3 linked regions of the Xenopus tropicalis genome follow. Each later gene encodes a partner of the first gene's protein in a complex. Links are inferred from orthologs where the notes say so. Each region holds a gene or a part of one and is shown in the gene's direction. Other genes may lie near its edges. The genes, in order: ddx5, srsf1 and pa2g4.

Region 1 (4,399 bases):
AGTGGGAGGAATTGGCAGGGACACAGTGGGGGAGGAATTGGCAGGGACACAGTGGGGAGGAAGTGGCAGGGACACAGTGGGGAGGAATTGCAGGGACACAGTGGGGAGGAAGTGGCAGGGACACAGTGGGGGAGAATTGGCAGGGACACAGTGGGGGAGGAAGTGGCAGGGACACAGTGGGGAGGAAGTGCAGGGACACAGTGGGGAGGAAGTGGCAGGGACACAGTGGGGAGGAATTGGCAGGGACAGAGTGGGGAAGGAATTGGCAGGGACACAGTGGGGGGAATTTGCAGGGACACAGTGGGGAGGAATTGGCAGGGACAGAGTGGGAAGAATTGGCAGGGACACAGTGGGGAGGGGAATTGGCAGGGACACAGTGGGGAGGAATTGGCAGGGGCACAGTGGGAGAAGTGGCAGGGACACAGTGGGGAGAGATTGGCAGGGGCACAGTGGGGGAGGAAGTGGCAGGGGACACAGTGGGGAGGAAGTGCAGGGACACAGTGGGGAGGAATTGGCAGGGACACAGTGGGGAGGAATTGGCAGGGCACAGTGGGGAGGAATTGGCAGGACACAGTGGGGAGGAAGTGGCAGGGACACAGTGGGGAGGAATTGGCAGGGCACAGTGGGGAGAAGTGGAGGGCAGGCAGTGGGGAGGAAGTGGCAGGGACACAGTGGGGAGGAAGTGGCAGGGACACAGTGGGGAGGAAGTGGCAGGGGCACAGTGGGGAGGAAGTGGCAGGGGCACAGTGGGGAGGAAGTGGCAGGGACACAGTGGGGAGGAATTGGCAGGGACACAGTGGGGAGGAAGTGGCAGGGACACAGTGGGGAGGAAGTGGCAGGGACACAGTGGGGAGGAAGTGGCAGGGACACAGTGGGGAGGAAGTGGCAGGGACACAGTGGGGAGGAATTGGCAGGGCTCCTCAGCAGTAGGAACAAAACCTTGAGCGGGAAGGCTCAAGCACTTACTAATGGGGACTGTATGTAGCCCGTATATGTATGAGGCAATATAGTTGTACCCATTGGGTGTGCCTGGCGGGGCTAATAAGGGAACACAGCCTTACTGGCCTTGCCTCATCCCACGCAACACACACTGACTAACATGAGCCACAGATAATAAAATTCCGGGAAAAGGCGCATTGCCGGTCACATGGTCACATCGCTTAGTCTCTGCCGCCATCTTTACTTTGGGCCGGTGTCCCGCTACCAGTACGTGGTCGATATCCCGCTACAAAAGCGGGAGCAGCCGCTGCCCCACGCTCACGGTTCAGTTTGCAATATCGTTGGGGCGGAAGCCAGGAAAAAGGTTAACACCGAGCGGCTGGTCGGTTTTTCTACTTGTTGGACAGGTTTCCCTGAAGCAATATGGCGGCGGTAGGTCAAGGCCCCGCCCCGCGGAGGAATATGGTGACGTCAGTTGCCGGCCGGCCTTATATAAGGTGTGTGCGCGCTGCGTGTTACTTCCCTTCCTGCCGAGCCCTCCCGTCTGTACAGCCGCTCCCGGAACGCCCTTTGTGTAACGCCATGCCCGGATTCAACGACAGGGACCGCGCCCGGGACAGGGGGTACGTACTCGGGGGTCTCCCCGTGAGGTGCCGGCAGCTTCTGGCAGAGGCCAGTGGGGAGTTTGTTTGGGCTTAATGTTTCCGCCCGATGGCGGCTGGTACGGTAGGTAGGCATTATGGGATGTGTGTGTGTGGGGGGCCCATGAGTAACGGGGCTTCCGAGCGATGGATTGTATTGTTCGGCTCCCGGGAGGCGGGGCTCGGCGAGACAAGATGGCGGAGGCACCAGTTGCGGCTCTTTGTCTCTGCACAAAATGGCGGCGGGGGGGGGAAGGGCTCTCCTTCTATTGCCTTGTCTGGCGCTTGTACTGCCCTCCGTACTTGTACTGCCCTCACTCCCTGCCGCCTCCCCGCCGCCTCACTCCCCTCTCCCCGGCCGCCTCACTCCCCTCTCCCCGGCCGCCTCACTCCCCTCTCCCCGGGGCCGCCTCACTCCCCTCTCCCCGGGGCCGCCTCACTCCCCTCTCCCCCGGGCCGCCTCACTCCCCTCTCCCCCGGGGCCGCCTCACTCCCCTCTCCCCCGGGGCCGCCTCACTCCCCTCTCCCCGGGGCCGCCTCACTCCCCTCTCCCTGCCGCTTTATTCTTTTATCTTCCTTTGTCGCTATTTATCCTGGCAGCTGTTTATCTACCCGGGTGTATTCCCCTGGTACTTCCCCCATAGCAACTGCCCTATTGTGTGGCATCTCTATCTGCCTGGGTATATTCCCATAGCAACTATCCTATTGTGTTGCACCTTCTTGTGCTATCTGCCTGGGTATATTCCTTTGGTACTGCTCCCATAGTACCTGCCCTATTGTGTGGCCTCTGTCTGCCTGGGTATATTCCCATAGCACCTGCCCTATTGTGTGGCCTCTGTCTGCCTGGGTATATTCCCATAGCAACTGCCCTATTGTGTGGCATCTGTCTGCCTGGGTATATTCCCATAGTACCTGCCCTATTGTGTGGCCTCTGTCTGCCTGGGTATATTCCCATAGCAACTGCCCTATTGTGTGGCATCTGTCTGCCTGGGTATATTCCCATAGTACCTGCCCTATTGTGTGGCATCTGTCTGCCTGGGTATATTCCCATAGTACCTGTCCTATTGTGTGGCATCTGTCTGCCTGGGTATATTCCCATAGTACCTGCCCTATTGTGTGGCATCTGTCTGCCTGGGTATATTCCCATAGTACCTGCCCTATTGTGTGGCATCTGTCTGCCTGGGTATATTCCCATAGTACCTGCCCTATTGTGTGGCATCTGTCTGCCTGGGTATATTCCCATAGTACCTGTCCTATTGTGTGGCATCTGTCTGCCTGGGTATATTCCCATAGTACCTGTCCTATTGTGTGGCATCTGTCTGCCTGGGTATATTCCCATAGTACCTGCCCTATTGTGTGGCATCTGTCTGCCTGGGTATATTCCCATAGTACCTGTCCTATTGTGTGGCATCTGTCTGCCTGGGTATATTCCCATAGTACCTGCCCTATTGTGTGGCATCTGTCTGCCTGGGTATATTCCCATAGTACCTGCCCTATTGTGTGGCACGCTGCTGGCATATCTGTGTAGTGTCCCCTGGGTATGATCAGTCTGCCTGTAACCAGGAACAAGGTGTACTTGCAGAATATCCCTGCTGGGTTTATAGACTCTCCTACAGTTGCCCCATGCTGGGGCAGAGCTCTCACCTAGCAGTACCTGCAGTCTGGGTGCAACTGCTCCTTGCACTGCTGATTAGGCAACCACTTGGCACCTCCCTCTGTCGGTTTATGTAACACTGGCACGGCATGCCCTCAGGGAACCTACTTGGCATATACCCAGCACAGTTCAGTGGCCATTTTGCATAGGCCTCTCTCCCCTGGGGTTCTGCGCAGTAATGGGAAGGAAGGTGATGCTTCTAACTTAAAAACAAATTATCATTTTCCTGATGGCTTTTCTGGGTCTGATTATGGGCCTAGTGAGGTGCCAGGATGGAATCCTGTAAAGGACCAGGACTGGCATTGGCTGCACTAAAAATAAATGCTTTTTTCTGGCAGTGCCCATTTGTTGTGCCTGCTCATGGAATAGCTGAGGGCCGCACCTCTGTTAAATATACTGCCTGCCAGATATGTGTTGCATCTGATCAGTGTGTGCTGTCTCTGCTCTAAAGCTGGCCACACGTGGTCGCACGAAAGATCGTTCCAACCCTCCACTGACGTTCAGGGCTGAATCGTCCGATAGAGGTAGAAACAATAGGATTTCTGCAGATTCAGCCGTGAAAATAGATTTTGCTCAGGTGTCTTTAATGGAGCCTCCTGCGATCTTGCCATACACGCACCGAATATAAACAAGGTTGGTGTGTGTATGGCCAACTTTACTCTGGGGCTGTCTGAGAGTTGGCTTTGGAGCCCAGGCTTCTCTTTGCCAATGGTGGGATCTCCCCCTAAAGCAGAGTAGTTTGTAGCTTCCTGTGTATTCTTAGTGACTGCATATGAATGGCCCCTTGCATATCGGAGAGCATTGTCCTGCTCTGCATGGCCATTGTCAGTAGGGCAGTACCAAGCCAGGAGTCTGCTTTGTCGCCCAGTTGGTTCTTATTGTTTGCATTGACCCTTTTGTCTTATATTCAGATTTGGAGGTGGTCCTCGCTTTGGGGGAAACCGAGGTGGTACATCTGGCAAATATGGAAACCCTGGGGAGCGGCTTATGAAGAAGAAATGGAACCTGGATGAACTGCCCAAATTTGAGAAGAATTTCTATCAAGAACATCCAGATGTTGTGAGACGGACACCGGTGAGTTTGCTGCCTGATTGGGATGAACCAGCTTGGCACTGGGTACCTCTCACAGCTATCTGCACATTAGGAAGGCTTCTTATTGTATGTT
Region 2 (4,328 bases), on another chromosome or scaffold:
ATCAAGGAAAAGGATTTAAAAGGGCAATATTTACTGATATATATATATATATATATATATATATATATATTCCAGTTTGGCGAGATTCTTTAATAGGTCACTCTGCATAATATAAACTATCTGTTGGTTAAGTATTCATTCTGGGGGTATAGTTTTTCTTTAAAGAGATGAAATTCTGAGCGCTATTTCTCTCTCTACAATACCGATGTGGGGGGAAGCATCAACTTGCACACCTATTCATGACAGTACCCCTTGCCCCCTTTGTTCCACTGTCGGAAGTGACCTCTCAAAAGCTATATTAAATTTGTTCAAAGAAATTTTTGTTTGCTAAAAGGCATACATTTTCGAGTATTTTTCTGTTATGGATTTTTTTTACATTCCAGCATCAGTTTCTTAAATACTTTTGCACTTTTTGAAGTGCTTTTCCACTTCAGCCCAGGGTTGCACTCCCTACTCTGTAAAGCGCTGGGCAATATATAAATGTACGTATAACTTTATTTATAAAGCGTTAGAAGGGTACACAGCGCTATACAATCTTACAATATACACAATTACACACAGGGAGGACAACTGTTATAATAAATACAAGAAGTATAAATACACAGATTGAGCGCCATGTGGTGTGAGAGAGTAGGAAGGAGGTCCCTGCCCCATAGAGCTTACAATTTCACTGCCCAATCTAAGCTCGACTAAAATAAAACAAACAAATATGCACAAGGCCCAAACAGGAGTGTAATGTAAGGCATGTATTTATTATCAACACATAAATATTTGTAGAGTGTAAGCTCTTTTGGGCAGGGCCCTCTTCACCTCTTGTATCGGTTATTGATTGCTTTATATGCTACTCTGTATGTCCAATGTATAAAACCCTTTTATTGTACAGCGCTGCAGAATATGTTGGCGCTTTATAAATAAATGTTAATAATAATAAATAGGACAAAGTCTTCCCAACCTTGTTTGCAATATTACCCTGACAGCAGTTACAAAGTATTGAATTGCAGTGCTACTTTAATGGGGAAACCATTGAGAGTGGACCACAGAGACCTTATCCGCACACCCTAACACTCCAAAAAAAATTTTGTACGGTGCACACTGCTAGAGGGATCGGCACCCTCCAAATACACTGTAACAACAAAAAAAGCAATTGGCACTCAGGACTACAAACAAGGGTAAAACCCTTTTAAAAGTTTTATTGCGGAAACCATTGAGAGCACACCTGTAGTTAATGATTTTCATACTCATAATGAATGTCACTGCAGATAAAGAGCTAACAGCCTCCGACCATGGTTCTATAATACAAAACCACCTAACAACAGCCATGGCGCACGACGAGTAACAAAACATTTTTCAAACAACACCCACTGCCCTCCCCCACTATGGGCGCGCATTTCCTGGACGGACGTGACGTCAAGCACAGGGTATAGAAAGCCCCCCTATCACATACAGAGAAGCAGCTTGAGCTCAGGTTTCTAGTATAAATATTACCTCAGTGAATAGATTCTTTCTTAGGGCCGTAATTGGCACATAGCTTTAGGAACATTGCATCGTGAAGACGTGGAAACGAGAGGCTCTATATTGTCTCGGCGTAAGATTACCTTTGTTGAGGACGCACCACTGCGAGTTCTTAGTATCCTTGCGCGGCTAAAGCAAGGGAGGAAGTAACTCCGCCATCTTGTCCAAGCTCTGAAGCGCGCATCGAAGGTCTGTTTGGCTTCCAACTCCATTTCTTTTTCTTCTCAATCCGTCTCCCTTTAAATCCATCAAGCTGGATATGTCAGGGGGCGGCGTGATTAGGGGGCCGGCGGGTAACAACGATTGCCGTATCTATGTTGGCAATCTGCCGCCAGACATCCGCACCAAGGACATTGAGGACGTTTTCTACAAGTATGGGGCCATTCGGGACATAGACCTAAAGAACCGCAGAGGGGGCCCGCCATTCGCCTTTGTGGAATTCGAAGATCCAAGGTAATCCCTGTGTAAATGTTTTTGCTTTGGCCTATCGTGCTAATGGGCTCGCCTAGTGTTAACTGGTGAATAACTACAATATACCTTGAGTGTATCCGGGGGCGGGGTGGTGGTACTGCGACTTTATTTCTGCTGTAGTTGATAAAATGTCGTCCGCTGTTGTATTAGAGTTTATATATAGTCGAGGAGGCCAGTGAGGGGGGGAATTAGGCCTGATTATGGTGCAGGTTATGTTTCAACATCGGTGCGTTGTATCATTATTCAAGTTAATATATTTAGCCTATAATCCCTACAGAGTGGCGCCAGAATGAGGTATTATACACTCATTGTGTATCGCCATTAGCACGTGTAAATCCCTATTTATTACCGCCTTTAGGCAACAGCGCCCCCTGTGTGTGGGACCGAATAGCGCTTCCGCTCTTTGTTCTGCAGCCCTGCACCATGCTTACTAGTGTGTTAAGGGAAGGCATTCTAACAAGCAAATGTGCTTTGGGTTATTTATTGACCTGTTTGCTTTAAAGCCGCTGCCTCATGTCTCTGCTATAAAGCATGCAATTAGGCTCACTGCACTTATTCAACCAGAACTCCTAACACCTTTTATGTAGGCTGCTTGGAGAAGTGCAGTATTGATATTCAATAGCAACACTACAAAATGAATAATGGGTGTTTAAGCATCTGCACTATATGCACATATGTAAAGTATTGGTGAAAATGTACTGTTTAAATGTAAATACAAAAGCTTTTGTGTAGTCATGGGGGCAGCCATTCATGTCTAAAAGACTGTTAAGATACAATGGCTTGCTTACACAGAATTAATCTGGGGTCATGTGTCGTTTGTAGCTCTATACATGACTGTAATAAAGTTTTCTCATTTACAGCCAAGAAAGTTTTCCAGGATATGTAATTACCATTGTAGGTGAATATTCTCTTCTTAACCTGGCATTCTTTAACTAAAGCAATTCTTACCTTGGTTTCTCTTAGGGATGCAGAAGATGCTGTCTATGGTAGAGATGGCTATGATTATGATGGCTATCGCTTGCGTGTTGAGTTTCCAAGAAGTGGGCGAGGAGCTGGAGGCAGAGGTGGTGGTGGTGGTGGCGGCGGCGGAGGAGGAGGTGGTGGAGGCGGCGGCGGCGGTGGTGGTGGTGGCGGCGGAGGAGGAGCTCCCCGAGGGAGATATGGACCTCCATCAAGACGTTCAGAATACAGAGTGGTTGTGTCAGGTAAGAGTTCTATCAGGTGGCAGGTTTAAAAACCAAAGTAAAAACATCAGTTGCAAAGTTTTAGAGGAATAATGCCCATCAGGTTTTTACAAGCAGCGTTATTTCACATGTATACAATAATGAGTTGGACACAGTTATGCATACATTCTAAAGTATTATGCATTCTATACCAGTGGATATGACTGACCATTAATGTATACAAACAGAACTACTAGTATATCTCCCTTTAACTTTAGTTCAGTTAACGGCTTGCATCAGCTTAACAGAACTTAAGCAACTCTCTGCTTGGTCCTTGCAAGGTAGATAATTGTATTACAGTTCACACACAATTCTCCTGCATAATGGACTTCAAACCATGCAGTCACAAGAAAAGGGAAGGATAGGGTATTGTCTTCAAACAAGATATTAAATGGCCCTGTCTGGTTGCTCAGGATGCTATCTGGACTATGAAAACTTGCACATGTTGCTATGTTACCTTCAGTTCAAACATGAAGCACTGCAACAAATTTACCTTTAAAACGTACTAAATGTAAACCCCTGAGTTATTTTAGCAGAATTGGGCTGTTGTGAGTCTCGCTGGAAGCATGGTTCAGATTAAAACAATGGGTTTTCCCCAGGATGCTGTGTTCATTTAAGCAATACAGCTGTCTTTGGACTGTTTTAATGCTCCATGCATTGCTGTATAACCAGCATAGATACCTACTCTTGGAATTTTGGCACTAGAAGTTCATAAACCATTTTAAATTTCCACCATTTGCATGCTTTTAATTATGTATAAAACTGCTTTTGATACCAAATTTGACACTCTGATAACTTTATATTTCTAGGGTTGCCTCCAAGTGGCAGCTGGCAGGATTTAAAGGATCACATGCGTGAAGCAGGTGATGTATGTTATGCCGATGTGTTCCGAGATGGTACTGGAGTTGTGGAGTTTGTGAGGAAAGAAGATATGACATATGCAGTACGGAAGCTGGATAACACTAAATTTAGGTCTCATGAGGTAAATACTAAATTGTTTAGTAGTTTGTGTTAAGTTTTTCTCTACCTATTGTGACTAGCAGTATCTGTTTTACATGACCTCTGAAGCCAATAGTGATGTTGGCCAAATACATAAGGTGCCAAAAGATATGGGAATTTTAA
Region 3 (3,605 bases), on another chromosome or scaffold:
CCCCTTGCTTAATGGAAATGGACCTAATGGAAAGGATATTGAAGGTTGTGTTCCTTTCAATCTAAAAATAACAATGATACGAACAAGACTTTAAAACTTTAAGATCAATCATCAGAACAGTCATAAAAAGAAAGCAAGATGTGAACAAAAATACAGCATAGGTATAGCATCACCATGTAATATGGATCGGTATACCTTAAGTCTGCTAAAAATTATTGGAACAGTGAATAAACCCAATAGAATTGTTTTATTACCAATATGGATCCATTCATCTTACTTACCATCAAGAGTCCTGTATTATTGTTATTATGTTTTTTTTATAATGGACTGTAACGGAGATGTCTTGTCCATAATTTACTTTCTAGATAATGGGTTTCTGTTAAAGAGATCCCATACCTGTATTTATATTTTACTAAATAAAAAAAAAAGTCCAAATAAATGCAAACTGAAGTCCATTTTTTAAAAGCGCAAACAGATTCACTTCAGTCACACTTTTCAGCTGCCAGAACTGTTAGGAGCTCCATTGGCTAGTAGCACTGCTGGTGATCTGAAATGTTATCAAGTGAGTAAAAAGGCAAAACTGCCCTCCCAGTAATTTAGGGTGACTTCAGTCATTTCTCTGCCAGCTAAAATACAGTGACGTGTGTCATTAGTCTCAATTAGCTTTGTACAGTAAAGAATATAGAGATGTATATAAAATATACACACAATATGAACATAAATGTAAAAAATGATATATTGACTTCTGAAAATAATAACTCCAGATCCTAAATGCATTATATAGTGGGGCAGAAGTAGTGGCACCCAAAATACATTAAATAAAGTGAGACACTGGGTAGTGGCATCACAAATACATTACATGCAGTGGGAACTTAAGCCCCAAATACATAAAATGCAAAGAGAGGCAATGATTTTTGACACCCTAGACCCATTTCCCTTCCAAAGCAGTTTTCCTGAAGGCTATAGAAGATTTTAGCATGATAGAGATTAAATTACATCAGAAATTGTTTGCATTGCTAAACAAGTTCACTTGCCCACCTAGTGGAAGACTTAAGTATAGCACCGAAACTCTGTTTTCTTATTTTGCAGCTTGGGTTGTATTGACAGTATGTTGATTAGGAAAAACAGTAGGCTACCTGAAAGCAGTTCTAATGTGTAGCGCTGGCTCCTTCTGAAAGCTCAGACTCCGGCACAATGCACTGAGATGGCACCAATATTACGACTAAAAAACGGTGCATTATTTGAAAGTAAGCTGTGTAATTTAGATATGAAGGGATTCTGTCATGATTTTTATGGTGTATTTTTTAAGTTTAGAATGAGAAACTTTTTGTATGGTGTGTGTGTTTTAATATTTATATTGTAACACTGATATCTTTAGATAATTTTTCTGGAATAACACAGTTAAAGCATTGCTTGTTTTAACTTGCAATGTTTTTTTTGTTTTTTTAATCCTAGGCGAATTTGTAGCTCAGTTCAAGTTCACTGTTCTCTTAATGCCCAATGGTCCTATGAGGATAACTAGCGGCCCCTTTGAACCTGATATGTACAAATCTGAGCTTGAGGTGCAAGATTCCGAGTTGAAGGTGGGTGAGACTTTATCACTTTATATATTTACTGTTGATTTGACATTTTTGCAGTAAAACCTCTGGGACAGGATCATTTAACTGATAGTGCTTTCTGTACGCAAAATGCAGTGATTCCATAGAGGTTATTTGTTATCTTTTTTTTATTAACGAAGAAATGTCTTATTTATAAAAACATATCCACAAAACGTAGATCTAATATGAAATTACTGGTATTGCTTACAGGCACTTCTGCAAAGTTCAGCAAGTCGGAAAACCCAGAAAAAGAAGAAAAAGAAGGTATTGTCTTTGCTTTCAGGACTGCACTTCTTTGCCATGAATTATACAAGCGCAGGAGACTTAGGGGCATATATATTAAGCTGTGTAAAACAAATTTGCTGAAAAAGCTGTGTAAACAGAGAAGATCGACGTCCTAATGCCAGATTTTACGCCGCTATTTTACATTCGTTCCAGCGGAAGAGAAACGCGTAAAAAAAACTACGCGGTTTTTTACACAGCGATGTGTGGCAAATTTTCTCGACGTTTTTTACACATTTAACTCCATAAGCTTAAACAGTTCAACCTAAGCAAAACTGGGCAGATGTATTGTTTAAAAATGTTAGGCGCCCCCAAGCGACTTTAATAGCTTACCTTTTCCCACGGGCTGGTGCCCCTGTTAGGAGAAAACAGCACCAGCCCAACATTTTGGCACCCCCAAGTAACGTAGCCTTTCCTTCTCCTTTAATAGAAAATCATTGTCTGGTTGTTTCTATATTACAATTGTTAATTTTAGGGATTTTAGACCATTTAAAGCATACACAATCTAAGGAATCTCCATGTTGGTTGGGTTGTTTGTGAGAAGGTGGGAATGTGTAGTTGTCATTTAGGATGAGAGTGCTCATCTGTACTATGTAGTTAATTGTACCATTAAAGGGGTGGTTCCCCTTTAAGTTAACTTTTAGTATAATGTAAAATGGGCAGTTCTAAGCAACTTTCCAGTTGGTCTTAATTTTTTTTTTTATTAGGTTTTGAATTATTTGCTGCCTTTTAACTTTTTGCAGCTTTCAAATGGGGCCCAGCAGGCAAAAAACTATTGCTCTTTAAGGCTACAGTTTTATTGTTACTTTTTATTACTTATTTTTCTATTCAAGTCCTCTCCTATTAATATACCAGATTCTGATTCATATCACTCCCTGGTTGCTAAGGTAATTTGGACCCTAGCAACCAGATAGATGCTGAAACTCCAAACTGGAGAGCTGTCAAACAAAAATAGAACAACTAATAAAAATAAATTAAGACCAATTGCAAATTGTCTCTGAATATTACCCTCTAAATCATATTAAAAGTTAACTGAAAGGTGAACAACCCCTTTAAATGAGAAAAATGATAGGCAGCCATGCATAGGTGAATTTTTGCATTATCTGCCTGGTTTGGCCATCTACTTGTATGGCCAAGTAGCACCTACCAGGTGCCAGTTCTGAATCAAAGGAAGTCAGGAGAGAATGCTTTACCAAAAGTGTTTTTTTTCCGATTTTTGTAGATTATGCAAAATGAATGCAGTTTTGTTTAACTCATTTTTGTATATTGCAGGCGTCAAAAAATGCTGAAAATGCCACTGCTGAAGAAAATGAAGGCACAGAGTGAACAGAGGCTTTTCTCTGAGGTGTCTGACTTTGACCTGCCAGTTAATATTTTTAGTACTTGCGTTATTTTTGCCTCTCTCCCTTCTTTATCCTGACAATTGAAATGAATTGAAACAAAGAAAAAAATAAAAAAAAAATTTAAAAAACATGTGCAGTCCGGGCAGCCAAGTGTGCGTTTGGATGTGGGAGCCCCACTTTCTCTTTGGATGCAAACTTGGACATTTAAAGACATATTTTGGAATTCTCTTCAGACTAAACCAAAAGTATATATATATATAAACGATAAAACAAAAGAAAAATAAAAGCAGGCATCAAAGCAGTCTTTCAGCCCCTCTTTCTATACAGATATTGTTACACAGAAACGGAACACTCCACCTTCCAGGTTTACTCTTCTTCTTCT

The links.
Region 2: ddx5 (region 1) and srsf1 share a complex: the UniProt entries of both Homo sapiens proteins name them as parts of the ribonucleoprotein complex. The link is inferred for Xenopus tropicalis from reciprocal best matches to the Homo sapiens genes DDX5 and SRSF1.
Region 3: ddx5 (region 1) and pa2g4 share a complex: the UniProt entries of both Homo sapiens proteins name them as parts of the ribonucleoprotein complex. The link is inferred for Xenopus tropicalis from reciprocal best matches to the Homo sapiens genes DDX5 and PA2G4.

What each region holds. Positions count from the first base shown.
Region 1 is NC_030686.2:51,533,060-51,537,458, forward strand, and holds the start of ddx5 (probable ATP-dependent RNA helicase DDX5), read left to right. Parts: upstream 1-1,503; 5' UTR 1,504-1,521; coding exon 1,522-1,562; intron 1,563-4,145; coding exon 4,146-4,308; intron 4,309-4,399. UniProt on the Homo sapiens protein: Involved in the alternative regulation of pre-mRNA splicing; its RNA helicase activity is necessary for increasing tau exon 10 inclusion and occurs in a RBM4-dependent manner. Binds to the tau pre-mRNA in the stem-loop region downstream of exon 10.
Region 2 is NC_030678.2:76,103,566-76,107,893, forward strand, and holds the start of srsf1 (serine/arginine-rich splicing factor 1), read left to right. Parts: upstream 1-1,517; 5' UTR 1,518-1,771; coding exon 1,772-1,965; intron 1,966-2,946; coding exon 2,947-3,188; intron 3,189-4,015; coding exon 4,016-4,188; intron 4,189-4,328. UniProt on the Homo sapiens protein: Plays a role in preventing exon skipping, ensuring the accuracy of splicing and regulating alternative splicing.
Region 3 is NC_030678.2:137,647,874-137,651,478, reverse strand, and holds the end of pa2g4 (proliferation-associated protein 2G4), read left to right. Parts: intron 1-1,455; coding exon 1,456-1,583; intron 1,584-1,808; coding exon 1,809-1,862; intron 1,863-3,152; coding exon 3,153-3,206; 3' UTR 3,207-3,351; downstream 3,352-3,605. UniProt on the Homo sapiens protein: May play a role in a ERBB3-regulated signal transduction pathway. Seems be involved in growth regulation. Acts a corepressor of the androgen receptor (AR) and is regulated by the ERBB3 ligand neuregulin-1/heregulin (HRG).